6 linked regions of the Nothobranchius furzeri genome follow. The protein of the gene in region 5 interacts with the protein of the main gene of each other region in a pairwise test. Links are inferred from orthologs where the notes say so. Each region holds a gene or a part of one and is shown on either strand. Other genes may lie near its edges. The genes, in order: psmb8a, smx5, clic1, lsm4, lsm1 and psmb5.

What was found.
Region 1: the proteins of lsm1 (region 5) and psmb8a interact in binary tests that used the Homo sapiens proteins (3 or more experiments, as listed by UniProt). The link is inferred for Nothobranchius furzeri from reciprocal best matches to the Homo sapiens genes LSM1 and PSMB8.
Region 2: the proteins of lsm1 (region 5) and smx5 interact in binary tests that used the Homo sapiens proteins (3 or more experiments, as listed by UniProt). The link is inferred for Nothobranchius furzeri from reciprocal best matches to the Homo sapiens genes LSM1 and LSM2.
Region 3: the proteins of lsm1 (region 5) and clic1 interact in binary tests that used the Homo sapiens proteins (3 or more experiments, as listed by UniProt). The link is inferred for Nothobranchius furzeri from reciprocal best matches to the Homo sapiens genes LSM1 and CLIC1.
Region 4: the proteins of lsm1 (region 5) and lsm4 interact in binary tests that used the Homo sapiens proteins (3 or more experiments, as listed by UniProt). The link is inferred for Nothobranchius furzeri from reciprocal best matches to the Homo sapiens genes LSM1 and LSM4.
Region 6: the proteins of lsm1 (region 5) and psmb5 interact in binary tests that used the Homo sapiens proteins (3 or more experiments, as listed by UniProt). The link is inferred for Nothobranchius furzeri from reciprocal best matches to the Homo sapiens genes LSM1 and PSMB5.

Annotation. Positions count from the first base shown.
Region 1 is NC_091759.1:22,777,804-22,782,248, forward strand, and holds the end of psmb8a (proteasome subunit beta type-8), read left to right. Parts: intron 1-1,356; coding exon 1,357-1,561; intron 1,562-2,872; coding exon of another isoform or gene 2,873-2,889; exon of another isoform or gene 2,890-2,989; intron 2,990-3,447; coding exon 3,448-3,536; 3' UTR 3,537-3,703; downstream 3,704-4,445. UniProt on the Homo sapiens protein: The proteasome is a multicatalytic proteinase complex which is characterized by its ability to cleave peptides with Arg, Phe, Tyr, Leu, and Glu adjacent to the leaving group at neutral or slightly basic pH.
Region 2 is NC_091756.1:60,994,977-60,999,953, forward strand, and holds the start of smx5 (smx5), read left to right. Parts: upstream 1-1,795; 5' UTR 1,796-1,872; coding exon 1,873-1,875; intron 1,876-2,064; coding exon 2,065-2,132; intron 2,133-2,460; coding exon 2,461-2,491; intron 2,492-2,577; coding exon 2,578-2,637; intron 2,638-4,977. UniProt on the Homo sapiens protein: Plays a role in pre-mRNA splicing as component of the U4/U6-U5 tri-snRNP complex that is involved in spliceosome assembly, and as component of the precatalytic spliceosome (spliceosome B complex).
Region 3 is NC_091759.1:8,284,606-8,289,627, reverse strand, and holds the start of clic1 (chloride intracellular channel protein 1), read left to right. Parts: upstream 1-2,000; 5' UTR 2,001-2,095; intron 2,096-2,351; 5' UTR 2,352-2,365; coding exon 2,366-2,407; intron 2,408-5,022. UniProt on the Homo sapiens protein: In the soluble state, catalyzes glutaredoxin-like thiol disulfide exchange reactions with reduced glutathione as electron donor. Reduces selenite and dehydroascorbate and may act as an antioxidant during oxidative stress response.
Region 4 is NC_091748.1:65,761,735-65,766,860, forward strand, and holds lsm4 (U6 snRNA-associated Sm-like protein LSm4), read right to left. Parts: upstream 3,274-5,126; 5' UTR 3,137-3,273; coding exon 3,134-3,136; intron 2,325-3,133; coding exon 2,283-2,324; intron 1,798-2,282; coding exon 1,699-1,797; intron 1,194-1,698; coding exon 1,013-1,193; intron 933-1,012; coding exon 826-932; 3' UTR 315-825; downstream 1-314. UniProt on the Homo sapiens protein: Plays a role in pre-mRNA splicing as component of the U4/U6-U5 tri-snRNP complex that is involved in spliceosome assembly, and as component of the precatalytic spliceosome (spliceosome B complex).
Region 5 is NC_091757.1:36,768,260-36,773,212, forward strand, and holds lsm1 (U6 snRNA-associated Sm-like protein LSm1), read right to left. Parts: upstream 3,747-4,953; 5' UTR 3,616-3,746; coding exon 3,570-3,615; intron 3,444-3,569; coding exon 3,375-3,443; intron 3,237-3,374; coding exon 3,121-3,236; intron 749-3,120; coding exon 578-748; 3' UTR 229-577; downstream 1-228. UniProt on the Homo sapiens protein: Plays a role in the degradation of histone mRNAs, the only eukaryotic mRNAs that are not polyadenylated. Probably also part of an LSm subunits-containing complex involved in the general process of mRNA degradation.
Region 6 is NC_091751.1:63,252,024-63,257,226, forward strand, and holds the start of psmb5 (proteasome subunit beta type-5), read right to left. Parts: upstream 3,471-5,203; 5' UTR 3,465-3,470; coding exon 3,174-3,464; intron 1,763-3,173; coding exon 1,456-1,762; intron 1-1,455. Other genes in the region: psmb11a (proteasome subunit beta type-11a), read right to left, coding at 3,638-4,654. UniProt on the Homo sapiens protein: Component of the 20S core proteasome complex involved in the proteolytic degradation of most intracellular proteins. This complex plays numerous essential roles within the cell by associating with different regulatory particles.

The sequences.
Region 1 (4,445 bases), on a different chromosome or scaffold from region 5:
CCTGATTTTATACCCAGATATAAAACGGTTTGTTTCAGTGAGGCTCCGCCCACTCTGCCTTAGCACACCTACAACAGCGTCTTAGTCAAGTCAACTGTTGTATTGGCTATGGTCTAGCAGTTAAACCACCTCATCTTGTGTTGCCATGTGCCGGTTTGACCCCCGGTGTCGACAATAATTTATTTAGCCAGCTGAAGCAGACTCCATTTTTTTATATTTCAATTTCACTGATTGTTTTCTGCAAAATATTTTGTGTCTCTAAAGATCTTTGAATTTGGTCATTTCAAAGCAGCATTTTAGTTGATTAACTCTGCTCACCTCACATGGACTCACACTGGCTAAACAAAGAAAGAAAGTAAAAAAATAAACAGATTAGTAATTATATTTTAATGACTAGAACTGACTGATTTTAATGACTATATTTTAAATGCTATATTACTATAGTATACTGATTTTATATATTATATAAGTAGTTGATGGTTCAGCTGATTACAAATACAAATCATAATTGCTTATCATAATGCATCCATAGTCTCCTTGCATACAACACAATTTAAAGTGGATGGTAAATAAAATGAATAAATAAATAAATAAATAAATAAATTAATTAATTAAACAAAAGACTACACAAAATAAATCAGAAAGAAAGGCAAACAAGAATAAATTCAAACCACAATACATCCATTTACATCAACTTCCAAACTCTGTTACAAACCATTTCAATAAATGTATCCAACCTGGAAAAAAAAACTTTCCCAATAACAACATTGGCCTGTAGCTAGAAAAGCTATCTCTACTCCCAAACAATGGAATCACTTCAGCAATTTTCATGCTGTCAAGGAAGACTCCCGTTGAAAGTGACAGATATATGTAAATGGACCAATTACAGACTATTTTATAGTCATCATGTCCAAATCCTCATAATCTGTTGATTGTTTTCTTCCACAATTTTGTACAAATGTTCTAATTTATTCTTTTTCTACTTTGTCAAGGAAAGTATTATTGACATTATTTACTATTGTCCTAAAGCTATCTTCCACAATTGATTTACCCAACAGATTTGCACCAACACTTACAAAAATAAGTCATTAAATTCATTAGTGATTTCTTTAATATCATAAATGTCTTTATTCACCATGGCAAAGCAATCTGTGCCTCCTGATTTTGTTTCTTCTATGTTAGTCATGTTAATTATTCCCTATGTAGCTCTTGTGGCACCTTTGTTCTTACGTAGTAGGTCACTATAAAAACACATTTTTGTTCTGTAATTATGGTTCTTAATCTTTTATATATATATCTTCTCCGTCTTTTATTAGCAGTTTAAAGAAACTGAGTTAATATTTGTGTTTTCTGCAGGGTCCAGGTTTGTATTATGTGGATGATGACGGGACTCGTCTGTCTGGTCGGATGTTCTCCACCGGTTGTGGTAACGGCTACGCCTACGGCGTGGTGGACAGCGGCTACAGGGAGGACATGACCGTCGAGGAGGCGTACGAACTCGGCTGCCGCGGCATCGCTCACGCCACTCACAGAGACGCCTACTCTGGTGGAGTAGTAAACAGTGAGTAATCTTTAGTGATACTTGATTTTATATTACTTTATTTTAGCACAAGGTATTGCAAACAGATACCATTAACTGCACAGTCAGTTATTTTGTCCAAACTGGTTTCTTACTGGTTGCATCAATCAATAAAATTTCTTTGAGAATGAAAATATTTTTACTCCAAAGAAAAAATATAACTACTGGGAATTTTAGCGACTGACATCTAGGCGTTTTATGTTTTCAGGGAAGTTAATTTATGAGCTATTAACTCATTCACTGCCAGCCATTTCCTGATCAGAAAAGCCCTTTGCTGCCAGCGGTTTTCAGCGTTTTTTACAGTTTTTTTAAGGGTCACAGAACATTGCGCACTAGGATAATGTCAATGACAAAACTACCAAAACAAAGAGTAGACTCACCTCTTGCATCAGGAATAATCCGCACGCTTCGAGCATTATCCTTTCTTTCATAATCTGTTGCCGAATTGTGATCGGCAGAAGCTTTTCCGGTTCGCGCCTCACTTTTTTTTTTTACAGCAGTGGCCCAAAATGACCTCCTAATGCTTGGATTTTCTGCTTCCTGATCTCATGATGTGTGACATACGTGAATGAAAATCGGCTTTCGAGTTGGGATGTGTGCTCTTACAGTGCGGGGGCTCATTCTGACGCCCACACTGTAAAAAAAATGCAAATGACGACTTTAGTCGTCATTGGCAATGAACGATTGGATTTAAAATGACGACTTTTGTCGTCATGGGCAGTAAATGAGTTAAGTCATCTTCTCAGATGAAGTAATTATGAAGCTGTTACTCTCACACTGCTGGTTGGACCCAAGCTGCAGGTGTGGAACCAGGAGGCAGGCAGGTGCACTCAAAAGTCCACCCATCCATTTCAGCCGCTCATCCGGAGTCAGGTCGCAGGGACAGAGAGGGCCGGCTACTTGGTTCAGTTCCTCCGGGGGAATCCCAAGGTGTTCCCTGGCCAGCTGAGAAACTTCCAGCATGTCCTGGGTCTTCCTTCCCAATCAAAAGTATTTTAATAAAAGTCAAAAAAGGAACAAGAGGGAGCTAAAGCAGGAAACAGTAGGAGTGAAACAGGGTGTATCAGAAGGATCGGTGAACCAGAGCCACTTTGATCCTGAGGGAAATAATTATTGGGACAGGTGAGTTGATGGGAAACAGGTGTGAACACTTTAACTGGGTGCTGAATGACTGTGGGTCGGAATCTGTGTGGCTTCCACACACCCCTAAGATCATTGAGTCCAATCAGAGCATTCACACCAGCTGCGGTGTGGACCTGTGAAATCTTTCTACATGGTCTCTATTTTTTCCAGACGCTGCACGACGCTGATTGTCATGAAGTCAAAGAAAGTACACGAGTCAGACAGGAAGTGAGACGTGTGGCAGCGAGACGCATCCCGTTTATTTCACAATAAAACCTGTTGCATCATTCTGTCGGCTTCTTCTGTTATTATTACATTTATACCAGTTCACTGTGTATGATTGTTCAAGAGGACGAGTGTGGCTGCTGTGTACCAGTTCCTCTCTACACAAGTAGTTGCTGTCGTGAACTCACGAGCAACTTTCCAGAGATGCTCCAAACTGGATCTGCAGTCGGGGGAAATGGCGATCCATCCAGAAGCCGTACGGATTCCAGTCTGCATTCGTTCCACTCTGGGTGTAAATAAAGCTTGATAGTTACATCAAGCAGCTGATTGATGTGATTCCCATCAGCTATGAGATGGTTATAGTTCATGTGCATGTTAGCAAAAATGTACACATTTGGGGGGGGGGGGGGGGATGTACAGGAGAAGAGTGGTAGCTGTAGTTTGAAAACATTTTTTGAACGTGAAATTATTTTTTTGTCTTCCTGCTGATGTACATGCATGTGTTTTTTCTGTGTGTGTAGTGTACCACATGAAGGAGGACGGCTGGATTAAAGTGTGTAAAGAGGACGTCTCAGAGCTGATCCACCGCTACAGAGAGGGAATGTTCTGAGATCAACATTTTGTTTTCCACCGATGTTTAACTGGAATGGCACGTGTGGACGACCCTAACCGTTTCTCACAAGCTAACTGGTTCAGAAAGGATTTTGCGTTAGCTAAATAAATAAATAAATGACCAAAAAAAATACACGTCTCCCAATAAAGACTGTTGCTAAATTAGTGTTTTGGTCGTTTTCATTTAAAAAGTGTTACAAGCCCTTAGATGGAAGTTAGTTGTGGTGGAGGGGTAACATTTTTTTCTCATTTACAGATTATAATTTTACTACATCTGAACTAATTACACACGTTACTTGTGAATTGTGCTGTTTAAATTAAAATGAACATTTCCTCACTCGTATTACTGCCAACATTTGTGATTTTCATGATAGTAAAATTTACATTTTGGTAAATTTTCACACTTTAAATTCACTTTGGACAAAAGTATTTGCTAAATAATCACAAAAATGTCTGAAGGCTCGATCGCAATTTGCTCTGAGTTTGTTGCTGTGAAGTTTCACTCAGAAACTGAACTATTCTGAAGGTTTATATTCAGGATACAAAAGCAAACAAATCAAATCATGGTGCCTATTCAAATCAAATCTAAAACTCTACAGAAAAAGTAGAGAAATCACTTTCTTATAAATGTTTTAGGCGATCCATATTCTTTTGTTGAAAAGAACAAGCAAAAATACACGGATACTACTTGGCAGTATTTAGTGTCAGTTGTGTATTTAAGTCGAGTTATGAACACACACAAAAATCTGGATTTTAGGGATTTTATTTAGGAGCAAAAAAATAAAATTACACACAAACTAATTCATCTTGTTGATATTCATTGTCTGAGAAAAATCAAGAAGTCAAATACAGCATAACTGTTTAACCTCTTATTGTCCTATAATAAAGAAAAAAGCCACGCATCCCA
Region 2 (4,977 bases), on a different chromosome or scaffold from region 5:
AAAAAATTGCTAATATTATTTTATTATGGTTTTATTATTTTCATTTTACTACTCACATTTCTGATATTACAAAATAAACATAAAAAGTGTCGATAAACATCAACAGGCTTTTGGAGAGATACATTTCTAGAAATGCAAGAGGGGGCTGCACACAATCACCCTGAGTACCACAGATGGCCCCCGTGCCATACTGTGAACATGCCTGTTAGCATCTTTGTGTGTGTGTGTGTGTGTGTGTGTGTGTGTGTGTGTGTGTGTGTGTGTGGCGGGGGGGGGGGGGGGGGGGGGTCACCTAAAAACCTGAAAAACAAGGCAAATATGGGTCAAGCCTTACTTGTGTCAGCCTATAGAAACCAGGTTTGCTTATCATAATGGCAAAACATGCAAATAAAACATATTTAATCGTTAAACTTTCAGCCCTGGTTTGACCTTATTTTAAATAAAAAATAGGTTTCAAAGCGCTAGCAGAAATTTTGAGAACCAGTGAACTCCTCTAGAAAGATCATGGTGAGATTCTGCACACAGTCTGGGCCAAAACCAGTTCATCAGAGACCACCGACAGATGGGACTGGAGAGCAGAGACACTGATGGGACTATACCTGCTTGAACCTGAGGGACCAAGGCAATCAGCATGGATGACTGGTTTGAGACTGGAAGCCTTCCCACACCAGGGTGACCAGTATAAGGAGTAGGGATGGATTCCAGATGTGGTACTTTTTAAGGCACCGACTGAATTATGTGGTACCCACCAGGGATCAATTCTCCTACGACTGGCTTTTTCATATAAGAGGAAACCGTCTTCCCTTGCTGCAGAGTTTTTATGTTTACAGCCGGACCTTGAGTTTTTTGAAGAAAATGTGAATTCAATTCAACTCAAAGCTTTGTTTATAAAGTGCCTTCCGCGACCTTGTCAGGGAGCCCAAGGTGCTGTACACAGTACATAAGAAACATAAATCACAATGAATAAATAGAAAATAAAAGCAATTAAAATAGTGCAAAGGGGGTAAAACATTGAAGTAGAAACAAATAGATAAAACAAGGGAACTCATCTCTATACCAACCATTCTGTCCTGTTTTGCACCATACCAGTTTCCGTTTTTTATTCATTTATTTATTTTAATAAAAGAAGCAGACAAACGCCAAATGTGAGCTTGTCATAAATCTTGTTGCATTTTATCCCACTGTTAGACTGACTTCTTTTCTCTGCTGGGTTTATCTTATCACCTAATTATTAGACTATCTTATGTCCTTGCTTTAATGGGTTAAGGCTGTTTACAAGTTTGAGCACATCTGTCATCATCTGTTTAAATGTGTGTCATCTAATCACAATTTAAATCAACGCTGATTAGGATTTAGACCTATTTTTCACCAGTTTTCATTATTCTAGAAGAAAAACATACCTGCTGCACACAGCTGGGCAAAATAGGGCCATTTACATATATTTCATACGTAGGTAAGGCACACATAGGTTTATCCTATTTACCAGGGCTGCCGACTTCTTTAAAAGTCTCAGAGTGAGATTTTCTTTATTTTAACATATCTCTCTCTCTCTCTCTCTCTCTCTCTCTGTGTGTGTGTGTGTGTGTGTGTGTGTGTGTGTAGGGACGTGGACTATTAGGGTTTGTTACGCAAAGTGATATTAAGGCAGATTTAATTTTTCAGAGGCAAATTAGATGCTGTAATCACACTTAAGTGTGTAAAAAAACACAATGTTGATTAATTATGAGCAAAACATGTCAAAGAAATGGATACGATTCAAGCTGAATATGTTGAAGACCTCTGGCTCCCCCTGGTGGTAGTTGTCTGTATTTGCAGCGCTCCCTGATACGTCATCAAAAGCGGACGCGACTACTGAACAAAGCTACCGCAAAAATGGTGAGCTAACCTCGTTCAATATTCAAAATGTATTTAGCATGACACCAAACACATGACAGTTAAATAAGTCGTTACCTTAGTCTTTGTGTAACTGTTAGTGTTTCCATTCTCTCTTTGTTCATAAACTGTCGTGCTCGACGTGTAGCGTGCAGCTACACGCTAACGTTAGCATGTCGTTGTGCTCCGCAGCTTTTCTACTCGTTTTTCAAGTCTCTGGTTGGGAAGGACGTAGTGGTGGAGCTCAAGAACGATCTGAGGTTAGTGTTTTACGGCTTGGCCTCCACTGCTGTGATAAATCGTTGAAGCTGTTGTTCATTTGCAGGAAAGAACGCTAGCAATTCGACCCACTGTAGCACCACGTTGGAAACAAGTGGTCTCTAAACGCGAAGCTTTGAATGAACTTCTGCTAAAGCTTGAGCTATTTCTTTGTATATTCCAATGGACTTGTAGCTTATTAGTACTGCGACGTTTCTACACGAGTCTGACTCGGAAATTAAGGCAACCGAGCTAAACGAGCCATGTAGCCTATTCAAAAGTGTCCAAATGTTTGTTTTCTTGAATATTTATCCACACATCTGTTTTCAGCATCTGCGGAACGCTTCATTCTGTTGACCAGGTATTGAAAATACACTTTTTGAAACTCTTTCAGACAAACTTCTGCAGTTTTTTGACATTTACATTCCTACTCTTTTTGGTTTTTAGTACCTGAACATAAAGTTGACAGACATCAGTGTGACGGATCCAGAGAAATATCCACACATGGTAAGTAGCATACTTGAGACACATCGGTCCTAAGGTCACGTTGCTTCAGATGTCTGTAGAAATCTGAGGCTAATCTCACTACGAGTGTTTTCCACATTCACAGCAGGGTTAACAAACACAAACTCAGCCCTCTAATTGGTAAAAAGGTGTGATTATTCACTTAAACCAAAGATGCGACAGATTTTTGTTTTGTTTTCAGGTCGAGTACTAAAGCCTTACCTCTAGTCCTCAGAAAATAAAAATACAACTTAATAGGGCTGGATGAAAACTTATTTGTCAGTGTCCTTTTGCAGAATTCCAATTTTACAATATTATACCTCCATATTTTTTCTTCTGTAAATATTTGCAAGTTAACTCCCTTCAAGCTGTCTACAGAAAGTGTAATCATAAATTCATCAGCAGATTAAATGCACAATTTAATCAGATTCTTGTCAAACATCAACCTAAGTGCCATTCTCTATCAGTTTGAGCTGTAGAAACACTTGTACAGCTGTATGCTAACACACATGTAGGTTTAGATATTTATGCCGCTGGTTTGACCCGTCTCTCAGCACCAGCAGGATAAATAAATCTCCGTCAGCAGCCACGGTGAAAAGTAGCGATGTAAGACAATATCGATATGGCAATATATCGTGATGTTTTTTCCTGCAATATTATATTGATATCCAAAAGCCATGTGTTGAACTTTTTGGAATAGTTTACATGCAAACATTTGTGTATTTTCTTTTCTTTTGGTGCAATTCAAACACTGACCGCTAGCTAGCAGCAGTGTGCATTGGGTTTTGTTTCCACCACTGAAATATAAATCCCTCTATTATGGTTCAGATACCTCATGTTTAACATGTTAAGTATCAGTTTGGACTGTTTATTGAAATTTTCTACAATAAATTCAGTCTAAAAAATCGCTGATATCGTCTGGCTGAATGTATCGCAATATATCGTGATATATCGTATCGTCTTCCCTGTATCGTGATACGTATCGTATCGCCACAATTTCACCAATACACATCCGTAGTGAAAAGGCTCACTAAAACACGAACAAATGTCCCCAAATAATTAAAAACCACTAATCCAAATGCAAAGTTTAGGGCAGAAAATTGACCTAGAGGTTTCCTGATCGAGCAGACACGTGAGAATACATGTAATGATCGCATAGAGACAGAACAAGCTAGTGGATAGCAATAGCTGCACCTGCTAATGCTAGAAATTCACTGTTTTTATATTTATATTGATGTAAAGATATTGAGTCATCAGGTTTCTTGTTTGAAATTATATCCACATTTAAAAAATCTCAGCCCTACAACTGAAAGTAAATGGGTTTTTAACTAGAAATTTATTTCAACCATACTTACTCACAACTTGGCTTGCTCATGGGTATCTCCTTAAAAATGTATCAAATCTTGACAAACTAGTTTTATTTTTACCTGAAGTCATAAAAACTCAAGGAAAAGTGATTTTTAAATAGTCTAGATTAACTCACAAACCTGTGGATTTGTAGCCCACAAACGGTTGTGTTTTATTAACACTCTCTGCAGCAAAGATGCTTTTAGTTAATACGTTTACTCGGACGTTCCGAGGACTCACCTTTACCACAAGGGTTAGACTGAATGAGCTTTCCACCGAACGTGAAAGCGTCATGAAATGGACGCTAAACTTACCTCGCTGAAATTAGCCACCGTTATAGCGAATAGGTTCCTTTCTACCGGCGGCTAGTGTGTAAGTGGCAAAAGTGTACGCCATCGTTACGCTATTTGTTTATGTGCTACCCTTCCAAAACCATCAAACCGGCCGGACAGGAAGCCGAACACAGAGGCGGTGTCAAACATCCCAAAACGTTCTAAGTAAGTCACGTTCAGATAGACGTACATCATTTCCTTTGAAACCCCCGTAGCCAATGTAAACGGAACAGAACAGACCTTGTGGATACCTGCAGCTGTCTTTCTCCTTGCCTGTTATTGTGTGGTCTTCTGAAATCACATGTGCTGTTCTCCTGTGGTTTAGTGACATAGCAGGACCAGCTGCGTGGAACACTTTAGCTCCCTTTTCGCAGCAGAGTCACTCCCGGTGGGAAGGGAGCTCGCCGGTAAAACACCTCTATTTCATGACGCACAGCTTTTGCGTCAGGTGGAAATCCGGGCTTATGGAGCGTCACCAGAAAAAGTATTAAAAGTCACCTGCAATGTCTTCCTTTTGGTATTAACTCTTTTTTTTTCATTTGCTTGGTGGTTGTGTGTGTTTCTCATAGTACTAAGGAAAGAGTGTGTAAATAAGTATATATAAAAGAAGATTTATTGCTTAAAAGAATAAGTTTTACCCAAACAAACACACATTTTTCTCACT
Region 3 (5,022 bases), on a different chromosome or scaffold from region 5:
AGCCCCCCCCCCCCACCTGCACGCACACACGCATGTTTTCTACAAACAGGCATGTTTTATTAGAACAACCATTGAACACTCGTTTTTCTAAGTTGCACATATTTACATTTAAGAGCAAGTCACTCCAAATCAACATTTTTTTCCTGATAAACTTTATAAATGAGTGTCTGATCGTGCTGCAGACACGTGTAGTCAATAATTCGGCACTTTAGCGCATCACAATGAAAAGTGAATAAACATATGAATAATCATTATAACAAGCATAGGTTATGAACACATTAGGCTTAGATGAGTAAAATTCAAGTAAAATTCAAGTAAATGTCATTTAAAACTGGGTGATATAAATCACGTTTTAACGAGAACATTTCTCATGATTACGAGATACTGGTCCTGAGTTTTTTTCCCGCACTGACAGTAAAACGCTTCCGTACATTTGAATATTCGTTTCAGTATTTCAGCCCTATTAGCTCTGTTAGCCATTAGTTGACCAAATTTAACCGTTAAAATCCCAGTTAACTGGTTCAAAAAATTGAAAACATGCATCATGAGAGCGTACATACCTTTATCTTTCTCCTCTTTTTTCTTTTTTCTTTTCCTGAATCGGGCACCTGGTGGTTTTAGCCTTTTTATGTTCATCTCTTCTGTTTGGCTCTTGACTCAATAAGTTTCCTTTAGTCAGGACTAAACAATTTGACCTTGATGGGGGGGTGACCACAAAATCGTTTTGTTTTTCATTTTTTTATTCGGCCATTTCACACAATTCAGAAAAACCTGAAAGAATGATAGGCCTGTGTTTATGATATTATGAATGAAATGTGCGTTAAATGGAAGAACATCAAGATGTGATTGACTTTAGCCATGTTAATACAGTCGATTCAGCCCCTACCCTCCCATTTCATTTGGAAAGACCCAGAGGTGAATTCCCCCGCCGCACCCCTCCCCTTCCTCTTCTTCATACACACACAGTGCACGTGAACGTTCTCAGTCAGCAGGAGCGCCTGCAGCTGTAGGGGGCGCCAACTTGCTGTTTCCAATCCAGACTGTGATATGACAGATAATAGAAAACCTCAGTGAGGCTAAGATTTCTTTCTTTTTTATTTTTTTTTTTTTTACTCAGCGCTTGTACGCCCCTTTTGTGTCATGAAAAAATGCCGCCCTGGGCAACTGCCCTGTCTGCCCGTGCCTAAAACCGCTACATTATTATTATTCTGAGCTACTACAGCAATCAATTTCCCTCTGGGATTAATAAAGTATTTTGAATTTGAATTGAATTTGAATGTGCCTCTAATTATAATTTAAAAGCTTTGAAAACTTGATTATAACTCTAAAAAATATAAGTCTTGAATATAAAAGATATGCGCGTGCGTGTGACGTGCATAAAATCTTTCGGTCGTTTCATCAAATAAAATTTGTCACGCGCCACCCGGAAATAATTGTGTATTCAGATATTTATATGTCGATGATTCAGACTCACGTTCCCGGTGTTGTGCCAAAGTAGTTACCCCCGTCAAAAATTGTTTCCCCCATTCACGGGAGCAATACAATACTGTAAAACCAGACGTGATCATGGAAACACGTCGCTCTCCGGTGAATTTACACTCGGTTTACACTTTGTTTTTGTTGGCGTTGCTATCACGAAATAGTTTATTTGCAAAATAAGTCACAGTATAAGTACAGTATGATTTTTTTCTTCACAGCAAACGTTATGGAGGGATACAGATTTTATCAGGCTGTGTGGCCTCGGCTGCCAAAATGTGTGCCCCCCCATCAATAATGCACATTGGCGTGGCAATCACGAAAAACTTTATTTGCAAAATAAGTCACAGTATAACTAATAACTACAGAAACTTTGGAGAACATTTTCTTTTTTTAGACTTCTTAATTTAACGTTTAATGTTCTCCAAAGTTTCTGTAGTTATTAGTTATACTGTGACTTATTTTGCAAATAAACTATTTCGTGATAGCAACTTCAACAAAAACAAAGTGTAAGTGGTGTAAACCGGGGGAAACAATTTTGACGGGGGTAACGACTTTGGCACAACACCTGCACGGGAGGAGGAGAAATCAGCACCGCAAAGAGAAAACGTTCAGCACAGTGAGTTTATAAGTTTTAAAAAAGCTTTATTTGTGGTTTTTAAGCTTTTTTTATGACTTTCAGCTTGCTGCGAGTTGCTTTGTGGAGCGTTTCCGGTGAATCCGCAGCCGTTAGTGTTTCGTTTGTTTTGGATTTGTAGCGGAAGATGTGCTCTGCTCTCTCGCCACCGTTTCCTTTCTAGTACTGCCACGACCTCTAAATAAACTTCTGCTTTCTCACTACTTTTGTGTTTTCTCCACTCTTTTCCTCCGTGAAGGGTTCTTGGTGAAGATGAGCAACCCAAACCAACCCAAACTGGAACTTTTTGTGAAGGTAAGCTAGCGACAGATAGGGAACCTTCACAACCAGAAAAGTGACGCGGGGGCGGCGACATGTCTCCATCTGCTCCATCTGCTTTCTGACCACATTATTTCACCTTCAATGTCACATTTAAATGAGAATAGTCGTCTTCAGTATTAGATTCATGACCATTGCTGACTCACGGGGCTTACAGACCACTGTAATCTAATTAACTGCACATTAAGATACTTTCTATATTTAGTTTATTGGTCAGGCAGTTTAATCCCCTTTTCTACGTGTCGTAGTGGATAAAGCTTCAAATTTCACATAATTATTTCTTTCTATGAGCACGTGCGCTTCCCTCTTCTTTTAACTGTTCATGCATGAAAAATGCTGTTGTAACTTCTCTGAATCTTAGGTTTCAAAATTCAGCCCAAGTGTTCAAACATACTGGGAAAACATTTACCCCAGTGCAATTTATATGATCATTGATGTGTAAAAACAAAAAAGAAAACCAGGAAGAATGTAAGAATTTTAAGAAAATTAATCTGTTTGAAGCATTTCCTGTTTCGATTTAGTTCTGTAGCTCTCCTTTATGCTCGCTGCTGTTGCTGACTGTAAAGATGCTGACTGGTCGGAAGCTTCCTGACTTTGCAGCAGTGAAAATTTTAAATTATCAGGTTTATTTTTTTCAGTCCTTTTAGTTTGTTTTTTTGGAGCACACAAAAGACTAGAGGTGCTGAAAAAAATCGATTCAAGTCTGAAACAGGATTCTTATTTATAAAGATTCAGATTCGATTCACAAAGGTTCAGAATCGATCCCAAGAACTCAAATATTGGGCATGTTACAGGTTTGAGATGTACGTTTGTCTGTTTTTTTATCTTTGTTAGGAGAGTTAGTACTCCGTTTACTTTTGTGGTCCCATAAATTGAGCTGATTTATTTTTGAATCTGCTGATAAGCTGGCACTTGAATGTAATTTTTTCCATACTCATTAATTTGAGATACTCTCATATTTATTTTCCAAGTTGATAAGTGAGTACTCAGGATTACTCATGTATTTATTTTAAGTTATTGATAAATGAGAGAACACATTTTCCTTTGTAAGAAATCTGAGGTATTTTTTTAAACCGGTTGAGAACTGAAATGTTAAACTTGTTTCCACACATACTTGAAAAGTATTTGACTGTATTACTTTCAAAGCTACTGTTAGGTAACTAAAGATTTGTTATATTTTACAAGGTAAGCAAAAATAAATGTTGCCTTTTGGTCAAAAGATTGCTTCTGTTTACAGTTTTAGAATCACTTTAGTTTACCTTGTAAATTTGCATTTCTTGAGCATGACCAGTTTAAAGTAAAATGAAAATGTCCCATAGCTTTAACTAACTTGTACAACAAAGTAGTTAATCCTAGAACTGACACTCTTTAACACTGATTGTGAATTGATTTAAATCGAGAATCGATTCTGAATCGAATCGACTCCCAGAGAATCAGAATCGAATCAAATCGTGAGTTGCTCTAAGATTCACATCCCTACAAAAGACAAAATACAAAATGACATGAAAAATTAGTTGAAACTTCCACATTTTGTCCCTGTCAATCATTTGCCTGTTTGACTGCAAAAGAAAATGGCCTGTATTTGATATAGCGCCTTCTAGAGTCCTGGAACCCCCCAAGGTGCTTTACAACACAATCAGTCATTCAGCCATTCACACACACACACATTCACACCCTGATGGTGATGAGCTACATTGTAGCCACAGCTGCCCTGGGGCACGCTGACAGAGGCGAGTCTACCGTACACTGGCGACCATCACCAGCAGGCAAGGTGCAGCAATAGACTGAGCGGGGCTCTAACCTGCAACCTTTCGATTACGTGGCGAACACTTAACTCCTGTGCCACCGTCGCCCCAAAAGTATGAACTTATTGGTTGGATTATGCAGAATTGGATGCTTTCATACACTAGTTATGATTTATTTGTGTTCATTAAAGAAACAGACACATGCAGGTGTTTCTAAATCGTTCCCTGCTGTTGGCTTAAAGAACAAAAACTTAGACTTCCATGAACCAATGTTCAGAGAAACATAATAGAAACTCGTTTTTAATAACTTTTTTTTTACACATACATAAATTATTTTGGCTTTTAGAGTAATTTTTGTGAGGAATTTATTTGTTTTTGTTTTTTTTATATTTTATTGTTTTGCTAAACCAAGTGACGTCAGGTGAGGGAGTCCTGTTAGCTTAATCCGGAGAAAAATATGGATTCTAATGCTGGCACAGAGGAAACTTTAAATTATAATTATTTTTATGACGGGCCAAAACCATAAAGTTATGAGTTTGCTGCACACCCCAGAGAGCAGAGACAAACCAGACGGAGAAACGATCGGCCAAAGCAGAGAGATTGTGCTGCGATGTGAGGAGAAGCAGCAGGGGAGCAGCAGGTGTCTTGTGAGTTAATGATGCTAGCTTAACCCTCCCACTGTCCTAATGGGTGTGACCCCGCGAGGAAAGTTGACCATTGGGCAGGGTTGATGGTTTATCCCTTGAAGTCCATGTGGCAGGGGTGAGGAGTGGTCACCACATCACCCCTGCCATGTGGGCTGCATGGTGGCGCAGTTGTTAGCACTGTTGCCTCGCAGCAAGAAGG
Region 4 (5,126 bases), on a different chromosome or scaffold from region 5:
TGTGACGTCATGAGTTTACTATATTTCACTTTTCCACAATATTCTAAATATCTGCTAAACTTCTAGTTTTTATCATCTGTAGCCACAACGGCTCAAAAATACAAAAAATTTAAAGGTCAAATGATCCAATTCTGTGATTAGTCCTTAAATTTAACTTTCTGCTGTATATTTTATTCAGATTAAGTTTGTGTTACTTCCCCTTTGGGCCTTCTGCCCTTTTACTGCTAATGAAAGCTGCTGGCTTTAAGGCCATGTCCAGTTTAAACACACCTGTTGTAAATAAATGACAATCAGAAGATTTAAAGGAAAACTGCAACTGCTCAAACAAACTTTTATTCTCGTAAATAAATTACCATGTCGTTTGTTACAAAAATTAAGCGAAACACAATCAACCCAAGGAAGTATGGACTCCTCCATGTTGGACTAGAGAATAAGAGAACGTTTTATTCTTTTTCAGAAAGCATAATCAGTGCATGCCGTCTTATAAAGGTTTAAACAGAAATATTCAGGAAGTGAGTCCTGTTGGCTGTCGCTCTACTGCTTCACCAGCTGTGGTTATAAAGAAAATCTTTCAGATAACAAAGCTGGAAGTAAACTACAGAAATGAGGAAAAAGCCAGTTAAAATATCTACTAAACTAAATTTGGGCCTCGACTTTTCTACACCAATAAAAAGGATTTAAAAAAATCAAACTAAAGTATTATCTGGCAACAATCGGTTGTTGTAAACATCACAACAGAGAGAAACAGCAGAGTTGATGTCATTGTTACTGAGGCAGACGTCCCTCAACAGGAAGTGTTTAAAACAAACGAAGCATCATTGTGTGTCAGTGCTGGTTTTTCATCCCCTGTGGTTTTCCTGCTTTCTTATCCTGCTGCTGCTGCTGTCCTCGACCAGGCCCAGACATCCCTCTCCCACGACCACCAAACACACCTACAGGAACAGCTGTGTTCAGTCCAACAAATCAATTCTACATGAGTTCAAAACCAACCTGATCAAACGGCATCCTTCACCTCGGCCGGGCCCTCCTCTTCCTTTGCCCTGTTGTTTATTCTGCTGAGAGCCGCCGCGACCTCGTCCTTTCGACACCACCTCCTCCCTCACCATGTCAATGATCTCATCTGGGATACGCAGATATTTGATGGTGCTTCCTCGGATGTAGCACTCAGGCATCCTCCAGAATTTATCTCCATCCTGTAAAAAGATGGTGAGAGTTTCTGTTTAAATTAAATTCCTCAATTAATAACACTTCTATTTTGCATTTATGTTAATTTACCTAAAGTCTAGCACAATAAACCCGACTGAGGGGATAATAGGCAAATGATCATGTTTAGTTGTGATCACCCATCTTTCTTTTGTTTACATGTACAAAAACACCACAAAGCTGCACAATTTAAAAATTATTACAGTCACTGATGGTCCAGTTAGCGCACTGTGTCTGTTCTTACAGTCACTATGAATCAATCATTGTATCTCAGCTGTTGTCTGAAGCTGTTCTGATAGTTTCAGTGCAGGATTCTGCAGACTTCTCAGTTCACATAGGCAGGCTGTCCTTCACAACACAGTTGTGCAAATATACTGTACATACAAATGTCTCATGAGAGACCAAATATGAAAGCACATTAAGCAAATTAAAATATTTTGGTATTTTCCCTTTGTCAAAAGGTCACATTTTATTAAAGGGAGAAGCATGTTTCACCCTGGATGTGCAGATGACTTCTCTCAGGTTGATGTTCATCCAGTTGTCACAGCTGACCAGGTGACCGTTGTAGGTCTCTCCATTCTTCAGCTCCACCAGCTAATAAAGAGCACACTGCTTTATAAGCTAAAAATCATACAATGAGCAAGTTCTAATAACAGATCAGACAAACTAAACTAAAGTCAAGAACAAAAAATTAGCTCTAATCATTAGCTAATTAGAGTGTGACTCTTTGAGGCTAGAATATGAACCTTTTCACAATATTCTAGTTGTCTGATATTTTGAATGTGGGGTTTTGATAAGCTGTAAGGCAAAATCATAACAAATATAACAGATAAAGGCCGAAACATCTGGCTTTGCATGTAATGAGTCCATCTCATACATTAGTTTCACTTTTTAGTTCAATCACTGAAATAAACGACCTTTTGCACCATACTGTATTTTTTTTAAGTTTCACTTGTAATTTACTAAAGCAGGTTATTATTTACATAGAGAACAGATGCTTCTTCACATAACTAATGACACAGCCTAAAGGATACAATATTGTAAAGAATATCAGACTTAAAATCAAGGTTTTGCCTCACCATGGGATGATTCTGAGCGGTCTTTAAGAGTGACAGGGGAAGCTGAAAATAAAACACCAGATTGAAATCTAATTTAACAGAATAGACCTCATTTACAGCATTATTTCTGACGCATAATAAACCGCATGAAACCAAGAATCCAGAGTCTACTGGAGAGCAACCACCCGATCAGAGGCTCTTCACCACCAACATCAACAGTTTTACCTTCAGACAGGAGGCACACACTTTCCCACAGCCACCAGACTTCTGAACAGCTGAGCTCCTGACGCTTAATTTCTACTTGGTACATTAACATTTCAGTCTGATTATTAACCTGTTTACTTTGTACCTTTATCTGATACTGGGATTATAATCCGCCTTTAACTAACTGATACACGTTCCAGCTAATGTGGGACATTACTTGCACAAATGTGTGCAACAACTCTGCATAGTTTCTTTGCAGTTCATATTTTGATTAATTTACTGTATTTTGCATGCTTCTTTAACTTTTTAAAATCTAGTTTTTACACCCAAACGTATACATTTGGCATCCAGTGTGAGGAACAAGGTAATTTTTGCTGTTCTTATGAGAATATAGAGTAATTCACCCCGAACCCATAAAACTACAGAATTAAATCAGGTCATTTAAACACGTTTATAACACAACAACACTTCTGAAGTTGTGGTAGGTCTACTGGCTCCTGAATAAAGCTAAATGTTACGGTTTATTTTAGCTACATGCTTAGCATCTTAAAGCTTTCACTTCGGTATAATTTATTAAAAATGTTAACACGGTTTCCGTCAGCCGAACCAAAGATGACCTATTAAAGAATACATTCTCAACTACCCACAACTAGAGGTTAGATACTCACCATTATGACGGTTTATAGCTTGTTTTACGCGGCGAACCTAAGGCTGTGGCGAATGGTCGAATCCAGCTTTCTTCTTCTTCTGGCGGTCGAATCCAGCCTGGGGAAAGGATTTCCTTTTAGCCTTCTGCGTTTTCTTATTCTACTACAAACGGCGGCTTCACCACAGCACACTGCCCCCTAGCGTCGAAACCTGCACTTTCTCTCCGCGCGTTTTATTTTGTGGCCACACTGAGACCACTGTTTAAACTTAAAAGTGTCTGAATAGATCATTTTCTTAATTATGAGAACAAACAAGAGTCTTCCGAAGGAGTAGTTTGAAACCAGCAGAAAATATAAACAGTGCTAAAGTTTCATTGGTAAGTCACTTTGATCAGAAAAGCTTTTTTACAGTAATTTATAACACATAATTATGAACACACTCCATATTTTAATCAGTTAGAACGTGATGAGAATAAATGAGCTCAATAAGTAAAAAATTTTTTGTTGATACTTCATAATTTATTTATTGGTGAAGATATTATGTGATGCTGTTAATTGTATAGGCCTGACCGCAGTAAAAGGCTGCAGCAGTCTTACTAAAGCCATAGCTTTCATAAAAATTATATCAAATTATTTGTCTTCAAGAGTGAATTTTGCATAAAAAGACAAACATCTTCAAATGGGAGGACATGGCCATTGCAAAGTGGTAAATTTTGAAATTGCCCCATTATACTAAATGTTAAGAGTAATAAACCATTAGAGGTGTCAGTTAAAGATTAAATGCACCATAACGTCTATAACTAACAATGCACATTCTTGGCAGGTTGTCCTGCACAGATCCTTGGTGCTATATTTTGTTAATGTTGTAAAGTTTATAATCTGAGTTATTTGTGCACTTGTAAAGAATGAGTCGTTTCCATCTTACTTATGAACCATAAAATGTGAGATTCCATAGAAATATGAAATATCAATCTGATGGATCTTTGACTACATTTTTTTTTCAAAAAGTATATTTTATTAAATTTTCTGTGTACACCTTTTACACAGTATTATGTTGTATATTGAAAGTACATTCTGTATAAAATCATCAGGGAACAACAGAACAGTAGAACAATATAACAATTTTGGTTGTGCTTCGGCTTTTGGCGATCCTCTCCAACGTAAGAGCATATATAGTACTGAAGGCAATATGCACATAGACATGTTTAACAAAACTGTGAGCAAGAAGTCCCCGAATTACACCTCGCTTTTGCTTCTCCCATTCCAGTCTTAATGCTGGTCAGAAGACCGAGTATTTTCCTATACTCTCCCACTTTATAAGTCCTCAGATTTTTATGTCCATCTTCTTAATATATGTTAGAAAAGGTGTCCATATTTTGTCAAATAAGTGTTGCTTGGCTTTTAAGATATAAGTAATCCATTCCAGCGGCATTACCTGTAACATCTGTTTCATCCAGTTCTTCACATTGGGTCTATGGAGAGATTTCCATGCCATAGCTATATACTTTGTTGCTACTGTAGAGGGTCTGCCCTCATGAGAAATTGCTACTCAGTATTTTCTCCAAAAGACTGTGTCATTTGCTCTGAAAAGCTGGAATATGTTCCAGCGCCAGCATGCCCTCATGAGAAAATTGCTATGCAGCATTTTCTCCAAAAACTGTCATCTGCGCTCTGAAAAAGCAGATAATATTAAACATCAGCGCCAGCTACAACTTCATTTCCCATGATTCCTTGAGCCGGAAGCAATGTGATGACGTCACCGCCGAATACCGGAAACAAGTTCTGCGCATGTGCGGGAGCCACACAGTTTCTCCCGCCGGACCGCCAGAGTCTACAAAAGGGAGACGAAATGAAACTTAACTCGTCTTTTGTTCCAGCTTCAGCTGGTGGTTGAAGACACCCGTTTGCTACGGCTCCGGACAGATTGTGCATGAGGCCAGGCGGCTGAAGTGGACAACGCCGAGACGCGGAAAAGCAGCGGAAAACCATCAAATCAACGGAGAAACCATCTGAC
Region 5 (4,953 bases):
TGATGAAGCCTAATAGGATCGATTTCTCCAACCCGTCCTCTCTACAACAGGAAGCTGTCCGATGCACTGATATGCTTCAACTCAATTATCCAAATGAAATCTGCCTCTAGTGAGTACATGGAACAAGAGAACAGCCATGCTGAATCTGACGGTAATGCTGGTGGGGTTGGGTTCTTGCAGGGGGTTTCAGGGATTTTTATTTCTTTCCACAAGCATATGCTCCATAAATACAAACTAAAATCTTTATTGGTGGAAAGTAATGTTTGTCAAAAGCAGACTCACAAATCTCCACAACAGAAGACATCATAGCAAAATAATATAATCACAAAGTGTTTCTGTGAAAGGATTACCAACATAATGATCATGATCCAATACCATTTAATGCGCTGACATGAATTACCAAAAAATAAAACAGCAGATCATCTTTTCCTTTTAAAACAAAATATTCAATACTAAATGAAAATTAAATGATGCCGTCTTTAGCCAACTGGGAATTAAAAGACAAAAACACTAATTTCCAACGTAAATGTAGCAGTCTGATACAAACTGAGAAAGACGCTCGTGAAAAATGGCGACATCAGTACTCGTCCATGTTATCCGCTTTGGGAATGGAAAGGCCTCGGTCCTTTAGCACCTGCATTTTGACCTTCTCCGTCTCCTGCTTGGTTTGCTGCTGCTGTCGCTGCTCCTCCAGGATCTCCTCGATGGAGACCTGCTGCAAGACCGTGTCACAGGGTTTATCCACATCCTGCAGGGATGCAGACACATCCAAGGTCAAACAGCAAACTCAAAGCCAAATTGTGGCTAAGTGATACTAAATGTTCTGGCAGGCTTGCATCCCTCACATGGTTCAAACTTCCACTCTTGTACTAGTCTGAGTTGTGATGGCTAGTTGTTTAAGTGAAGAGCAGCAAACCTGTCATATAGAGGGAATCACTGCCTAACAGCTTATTTTCAGCTATTTAAATTGAAAATAAATTAGTAATGAGTGATAAGTGAGTAACAGGACATAACTTAATTCTTCCATGAAGCTCAAAGCGATGAGAACATCTTGCAAAGCAAAATTAAGATGCCCATCCTTACATACATGTTGGTAACAAGAAGTGTCACTGTGTGCTGTAGACGCTCCACCAGTACAGGCTGTACTGGTGTCAGTGCAGATTTGCATGATGTACATTTGTAGAGCGAGATAAGTTGGAGATCATGAGTCACGCTTGTTCTGTGTGCTGGCCTAGAAGGTCCTCAGCCCCTGGAATGGGTCACTGCAAAGATCAGCTCAAGAATCTCTCTCACAAGTTAAACTTCATAACCCTAAATTACACCAGGAGAGTAAAAAAAAAATTACTCACAAAAAGATAAATATAGAAATCAGCTGTGAAAATAATGGATAAAGTAGTAAAATTCAATCATAGACGCTACATAAACGGTTATATTTTTAATTGGCCCCTCTGCAATGAATATTTCGTTTAAAACAAAATCAAAATCTGTTCACTGGAGGTAAAACCCCAAGATAGCTTTCCCATAAGTCCGCTCATACCGAGATTACCACCCACCCCCCCTCAACTAAACATTACTGAGCTTTAAATCCTTAAAACAGCACCTGTATCATTAAGTAGTGATAATAGTTTCTCTGCATTACCTAAAAATATGCATATGAGCCATTTATCTTTAAGTCTTCACCCATTACATCAGCCTGCCAAGGAGCGCAGATTTTAATCAAATTACAATACTGGGGAAAAGTTCAAGTAAAGTAAGAGTAAAATACAGATGTCAAATAGTGCATTGTCCTTTTTTGTCAAAGTTTACCAAGCACTGTAATCAAAACAGCATGTGACTTTAAAAATAAATATATTCTCCCGTTTATTAAATTTGGCTCTAGAAGAAATTTGCAAAGCTTCATTTCTGAGATCAAGTCAAACTATTCAGAAAAAGACCCATTTAAGCACAGATCTCCCTACAAGGTTTCCATAGCGTCTGAGGAGGAAATGCTTATTGCAGTTCTTTATTTTCTCCACACTACAGCACTGTTGCACCCATCCATCCGTTATCAGTACCTGCTTGTCCATGCAGGGTGGTGGAGAGCACTGTTGCATCTGTCCATTTACTCTGGGTAGGAACGGTGTCTGTGTGAATCACTTCAGCTAACCAAAGCCAGCTCAGCAGTCTGCTGCTGTGCAGCAATGTAAAACTCTATAATCTAGTTTAAAGTGTGTGATGAGGATAATTCTGCTGAGTAAGCGCTGGACTTCATCATGAGATCTAAATACGATCCCGACTGTCCACCGCAGGTAAGACGCCAACTACTCATTAGCTGCTTGGCAGAAAATTACTTGGAAAAAAATCTGAATTTTTCCCAGTTAAACAGAAAAATGTGCCCTGAATAATATAAGACATAATATAAGCAGGTAGCTTATTTAATACTACTAAAACAGACCTTAAAGGGCCAGTTCTCATCTTTTTAAGTGGGACGGATGTGGAAAAGTTGTAGACCGCTGATATCCAACTTATTGACTGTAGCTCATAGAATTGCTTTGGTTCGGAGAAACTGATTAGTTATGATTGAGCATTAAAGTGAAAAAAAAAAGTCACAAATTCTCATCTTCAAAATTTCTCAGCATATTAAAAAGTGAACATTCCCTTAAATGTGTGTTTATTCCAGCAGAATCATAATAAAATTCCAGCCAAAAAAATGTTACAATAGCTGGAGATGCAGTTCATTTCTGTTAATTTCCCACAGAAATGCTCCAAGAGGTGCCGTGCATTTAACAAAATAGAAGTTGCATGGAATACTATAAAATATTTTGGGTTTGGTTAATTTGGCAAAAACACTTTGTGACCCCACTCGGACTAGCCATAAGCGTGTGTTACTCCGTCGAAAACAACATTTTTCTCCAAGCTGTGGCTGTTCCAAACACCACCTTTAACTTCTCATACGTCATCACGTGCACTCTGTGTGAGGTATAACTCAAAGTAAAAATTAAGGAAGAATGTTTATGCAGAAATAAAGAATGTCTTCTTAATTCATTTCCATTTGCTGACCCCATTTTGGGATAGGGACATAATAAATGAAGTATAAAAGATCTAAATAAAAATATCTCAGATTTTAAAAAATGAGCTTACTATCTCTCCAAGCAGAACTACATTTTCTCCTCTGACGATGAAGATGCCTCTGGGGATGTCACCAAACTTTTTCCCCACGTGGATCCTCTCTACGGTCTGGTGAAACACCAGATTGGCTGAAGAACAGAAGCAGAAAATCAGTTGAAATGAAATATAAGGTGCGGAGATCATCAGCTGACCGATTAATTAGAAATGCTTCCATCTGTATTGACGCGGAGTTAGAAAACAAAGTGGACTTTTAAAAATAAGAGTACCAAACTGGTCGATGCTTCTGAGGTAACCAATCAGCGTCCTGCCATCTCGGAGCAGCACCAGGTGCTTTTCTGCAGGAGGAAAACAAAACATGAACGTTAGATATGCGTTTTACTCGCTTGTGTACGTAAATATCGAGACTCAAACATTTTCTACTAAACCATGTCAACAACTACAAAATTCAGCTTCTGTCTTACTGTCAATGTCGTCAATAAGGCTTGCAGTCCCCGGTACGTAATTCATATTGGTCTTTAGGTTTTCTCCGTTTTAATATCCCTGTGTTCCGTCAAGCCATGAATGTTTTAAAATGTTTATTGAACAAGACCACAGGAAGTGTCTTTATACATGCTCACGGTGAACTTCCTGTAAACGTTTAACCCGTTCTTCTTTTTTGGTGGTTTTTGGCTGTTGGCAAATGTTTGACTACCGCCACCTTCTGGCGTGGAGTGTTACAGACGGTGCATGCGTGCACATACCATGCATTATACTCCCTAAATAATAATAATAATAATAATAATAATAATAATAATAATAATAATAATAATAATAATAATAATATAATGGTAATATTATTATTATTATTATTTGGATTCAATCTCTTCAAATAATAAAAAGGCTGTAAAAACAAAAGACGTAGTTGATACATTTAAACTGTAAAATGTATTTTCTTCTTTCTTTTCCCTTGCGTTTTATAATAAGTTAATAAATTTATAAGTATACTTACCTCACTCTTGATTGTTCTGTAAAATTCACTTTAATTTTGATGTATAGGTGATGGGAAATTGTAAAAGCAAATTTTGTATACTCTTCCTCCTCTATCTGCTTCCTCTTCAGCACATCCTGAGCTCCTTCAAAGGAATCTCCATACCATCTTTATGCAGATGACATCCAACTGTACATCTCCTTTGAGCCCCATGAGATGTCTAAGCTGCAGCTGTTACACACCTGCTTAGACTCTATCAAAACCTGGATGGCTGGGAGCTTTCTTCAACTGAATGAAGATAAGACTGAGATCCTCATCTGCGCCCCAGACAAGCTGGTTCCCAAAGTCAGAGACTCTCTTGGTCAGCTTGCTTCCCACACCAAACCTTCTGTCAGGAATCTTGGCGTGACCTTTGACCCAGCTCTCACCCTGGATTCTCATGTCAGTTCTCTTGTTCGCTCTTCCTTCTTCCATCTCAGGAACATTGCTAAGCTGAGTCCCATTCTGTCTCCGTCTGAACTTGAGACAGTTCTCCACACCTTCATCTCCTCACGCATTGACTACTGTAACTCTCTTTTCACGTGTCTGAGCAGAACCTCCCTGAACCGTCTACAGGTGATTCAGAATGCCTGTGCTCGGCTTCTGAGAAAGTCCTCCAAATACACCCACATCACCCCGCTTCTCCTCCAGCTTCACTGGCAGCCAGTCAACTTCAGGGTTCATTTCAAGATCCTGGTTCTGGTCTATAGGGCCTTACATGGACAAGTGTGACGCCCACAAAGTGTGGTCACATACTTTTGTTAAAACATTTAGTGGTGTAATTTAGTAAAAGTAATAAAATAAGAATAGGAAAGTGTGGGGTGCAATACCGGGGTTCT
Region 6 (5,203 bases), on a different chromosome or scaffold from region 5:
TGTGTGTGTAGGTGTGTGTGTAGGTGTGTGTGTAGGTGTGTGTGTAGGTGTGTGTGCTGGTACTCTGGTTTCCTCCCACATTCCAAAAACCATGCATGTCAGGCTGACTGGATACATCATCTCTTGGTATAAGAGTGTGACTGGGTGTTTGTCCCTTAATGTCCCTGTGGTGGACTGAGACCCGTCCAGGATGTCCCCTGCCACCCGATGACTGCTGGAGTTAAGCACCAGCTCCCCAAGACCCTAGAGACAAAAAAGCGGCTAAGGTAACGAGTGAGTGAGTCCGTTTAAACTCAAATGTATTTCGATAAATTCAGGGCACAGCTGAATAAAGTAACAGCACATTTAATTTTCACAAGTTTGATCACAACAAAAGATGTTTAAGGGGCATTATGGAAGTTTGACAGCCAAAACATGTATAGAAATAATTTCTTCTTCAGACATTCTCCTGCAATGCCCTGGTCCTGTAGAATGAGCCCTGGCATTTTTACTGTGGTTGCCTGTTTTTCCGTAAAATCACAGAAAAAGAGAGATGCTCGGGTCGAGCAGGCACGCTCAGACATAGCCCGTAGCATTTGCTATCAGTAGCTTTAGCAGCAGAGAGTGAGACAGTGCCACTTTGTCCCTGTTCCTAACGCCTAGTGACGAACCTAGCTACATTTCTGAGGACCCTTAGCTACTTTCTGTAGAACTTTCTTCTAGATATTTCCTGCAAATTAGCAACAAAATAGCCATTTTTGCTCTGAACCGTTCTTTGAACGTTGTTTCAGCTGTCATCAAGGATATAAATGTTACAGATACAAAGGACGTCACCAGTGCTTTAGCTCACCTAGTAAGACGTCGGACTCCCATGCAGAAGATCTGGGTTTGATTCTGGATGTGAACATAGTTTATTTAGAGTTTCTTTTTTACATTAATGGTATATTTTTTTACAGTAAGATGCCCAGATTTATTTGAGACTCGCCGAACGGCATTGAATTCACAGATAAAAAAGATGTGGGTTCAACTTTCATTTTGGAACAATTTTTCAAGCAAGGGAAGGGAATGATCTGAGCATGCAGGAGGACTGACCCATCATAAACCTTTGTCGGCTGTGCTGAAGAGAAAGGTACAGAACCAAATTATTTAATTAATTAGCTGCACGTTCTCCTGTCCTCTGGGCCAGTCAACCCCACACACACACACACACACGGGACTGTCTCAGCTGTTATTTTCGTTAAGGAGTGTGCACGTACAGCATGTGCGCCTCGTGCACGAGCCTACTATTGAAGCTGCTGTTACGCTTTTGGCCTGAGGGGGCAATCGTGAGCATAAAAATTCAAAAGACCATAAAGTCCCTTTAAGGGGAAATGTTATAATGAAAAACTAATTTTTTTTCTATAAGGAAATCTGTCTGATCATTTTGGATCACCATATAGACCAAATGTTCTTGTGGATTCCATCTGCTGCATTTACCTGGGCCTCTCTTGTCCCAGCCACACACCATGGTTCCCATGCTGAGTCCCATGCCCTTGTACTGGTACACCATGTTAGCAAGCAGCTTGGAGGCAGCCGCCACAGAGATGCGCTCCTTGTTGCGCAGCTCATAGATACGGCACTGGCGGGCCAGCAGGCGCTCCCAGAAGCTACAGTCAGCGGCTCCTCCCGCCATGGTACCCAGCAGGTACGGGTTGATCTCAATCACCTTCTTGACAGTCTGTGAGGCGATGTAGGAGCCTGCTGTGGCCCGAGAGTCCACTGCAACAATGACTCCATGCTGGAACTGAGAGAAGCAGAAGTTCATTAGAAAATTCAGTTACAGAAGAGAACAGTCCATCTAAGAGATGCTCTTGAAGCTCAGCTCAAACTTTAACACATTCCTCTAAAATCACACCAGTCAAAGTCAATTACTGTGGTGAAAATAAAATACGATTACGGAAATAACTAATATTGATTGACTGAAACGTTTATTTGAACATAAGACAAAATATTTTTTTTAAATCAATAAACATAGTAGAAAAGAAAAGATATACCAATAAAAAAGAAGTCTTTGTCCAAAGGGAATAAGAAGAAGCAAGCACCCCCTTGTCTCTCATTACTAATTTACTTTACAAGTTACCATCTATACCTATCTATATATATATCAATATATCAATATATCTATCTATATATATATCAATATATCAATATATCTATATATATATATCTATATATATATCTATATATATATATATATATATATATATATATATATATATATATATATATATATATATATATATATATATATATATATGCAGCTACCAATGAGAGCATTAACATTTTATGGTACTAGTGATAGTAATAATAATAACAATGACAACAATAGCATAAAAAACAGCAAAATAATAATGACAATATCATAGTTTCCATAACTTCAGAGAAGCTCATTTTCAAATCCATTAGTTATCATTTTTTTATACAGTGATTTAATTTTGTTTATATTTGGACACTGTTTGTGTATTTCCTGCAGCCCATTCCACAGTTTCACACCACATACTGATGCACAGAAACTCCTTTTAGTGGTTCTTACCCTAGGCATTTTAAACATTTTAGTCCTTCGTAAATGATATCCCTCATCGCTCTGGTTGAAGAGCTTTTGAATATTAGGTGGCAATACGTGCTTACTAGCTTAAAGTGCTTGTTGGTTTACACTGGTTCCTTTGTCAAATGTATTGTAGTTTTTCCCCCAACTAGATAAAAACTAATGCCTATGCCTAGTTAAGTTTAAAAGGATTATTAAACTGAACTTTGATGTTCTTTTATAGCCATAAAACTATAGATTTTGGGTGTAAGAAACCAGATTGTTTGAATGTTTACTGCAGCCTGATGATCACAAACATAAATCATCTCATTTATCAGTAAGACAGCAAGCCAGTGTGGGTTTAAGTTACCATACAGAATACATGTTTGTTAGTAAAGTCGCAAAGAAAATACAAACATTAGCAAACACCGATGCTCAGAAAAATCAAGCTGCCATGAGAAAGCAATTTGTAGCTAAGCTAGCAAGCTAACGCTCGTCACATCGTGTTATATAAAGTCTCGTTCACAGCGTAAAACGTAAACAATTAATCGGAAGTTGTTGTTTTTTTTGAATTGCATACACTTCCCGATACATTTGACACCACCTATTTTAAACCAATACGCGAACTTACTTTGAAGGCTAAGGTGGTTGTCCCGTGCAGGAACTCTATTTTCCTCTCCACGCCATCCTCGTCTCCGGTGAGTAGCGAGTTCTTAACAGAAAATTTTAAACTGTCCCCCGGGGCAGCTTCCAAATCTACACCGCTCTGACCGGGACCACAACCAACAGCGAAGGGCTGACGGTAATCAAATGAAAAATCCACACAATCGCTGCTCAATACACTAGCAAGAGCCATCTTTGTAAGAGCGTGATGAACAAGCAACTTCCGCTGCGCATGCGCAGTACGACCTGGATTGATCATCCATCTACAATTGAAACATGTCACAGCGCCCCCTGTGGTTGTGGGGGATTGAGAACGTAAATAATTGTCCTATGTACTTCAAGGTTTTCATGGATCTCTCTCTCACACACACACACACACGCGCGCGCGCACACGCACACGCACACACACACACACACAATGCTTTGCTTTATTTAGTAACTTTCTATTTTGACACCCTCTCCCTTTCCTTTTGTATCTTGGACCCGTCTCTCCATGTCTCTGTAATATTCTTCTTTCAAGTCCTCCCTCTTTCTTTGGATCCACCCTTGATCTGTAACAAGGAAAAGGTCTACATTGTTTCCTGAGTATGCGTCCCTGTGGGTGGCTCTGAACACTGCTTCTCTTGCCAAAGAAATGGCATCTTCTTTACTCAAACCCCAGCTCAGGTTTCCATCCAGAACTCCATAAGCGTAGGGAGAACCTGAACCCACAGAAAACACGTCTCCTTGCAGTCGGGCTCCATCACTACACACATAAATTAACTTTGGACCCCTGTTGGGGGATAGAGAGTCTGGCGCTGAACTAATAGCACCTGAAGAGTCTGTCATAAAAGATGTGTCCTCCAGATTTTTGCCAAAGTTGGTTCCAACTTCCTCCTTATCCCAGCCACACAGAGTGAGAGCCACACACACATCAGTGCCTTTAAAGGGATGGAGCATAAAAGACAAAAGCTTAGCTGAGCCACGTATTGAGAGGCGGCGGCCGTGTCGCAGTTGGTAGAGTCTGATTTCTCTAATCAGAATACGCTCCCACAGCATGCAGTCTGCACCGCTACCTGAGGAGGTGACCACCAAATGAGAGTGAATAGGGGTAATCTTATGAACAGCCGGACAAGCAACAAGCCCCCCAGCGCTGGCACGCGTGTCTGCTGCTGCAATCACTCCACCTTGGAAGATGAAACCCAAAGTTGTTGTTCCATGGCACAAAGGAAAAGGCCTGCGAGTGGGCACTGAAGGGCCATCCGTGGTTCTGTTGATGAAAGAGCTGGTGCAAGGAATAGATGGCATGAAGACATGTGGCAAAGTGTTCTCAGATGTCTTTGATCTTTTCCATTTGAGGTTGTAGCAGTCAGCCACCTGAGTAGATGAGGTTGAATCCTCCAGAGATGATAAAGGGGAGAACTGATGCACACGCCTTTCCTCAAAACCACAGATATCTTCTAAAGCCATGAGTTAGATGAAGATGTACGGTAAACACCCAACAAAGCTGTCAACTCCCAAAGCCTACTCTGCAGACAATACTGATGTGCTCTTCCCCTTTTATAGCTATGCAAAACTAACAGCTTTCAGTAAGGCCATCATGCACCAACACGACCGAAAGCTTTACGGTTGTTTTATATTTTATGCTGTGAATTGGATATGCTGAAGCCTCTTTCTGCAAACCTAAGACTCTTTAGTGCCAGAGAGTCATCTAAGACGTTTCACATCAGTCGCTTTTACTTTGTTTGCTTTTCGAGTTTCTGATACATGATCTTAATAAAACGAGGAAATAATTATTATATAATTTAAATGTAAATTACATTTTTAACCTTTTATTTTTAATACTTTCCTAATGTTGTTTGTTTATTCGTAAGGAGAAACATTGGAACAACAAACTGTTCTGTGTTTTTGTAAAATCTCTGCGCAAATAATTATCGCGGGATTTTACGAGATATGAAACTGACATTCTCCCACAGCCATCTTAGCTCTAAATGCCTTAAATGCAGCATTCATGCACGT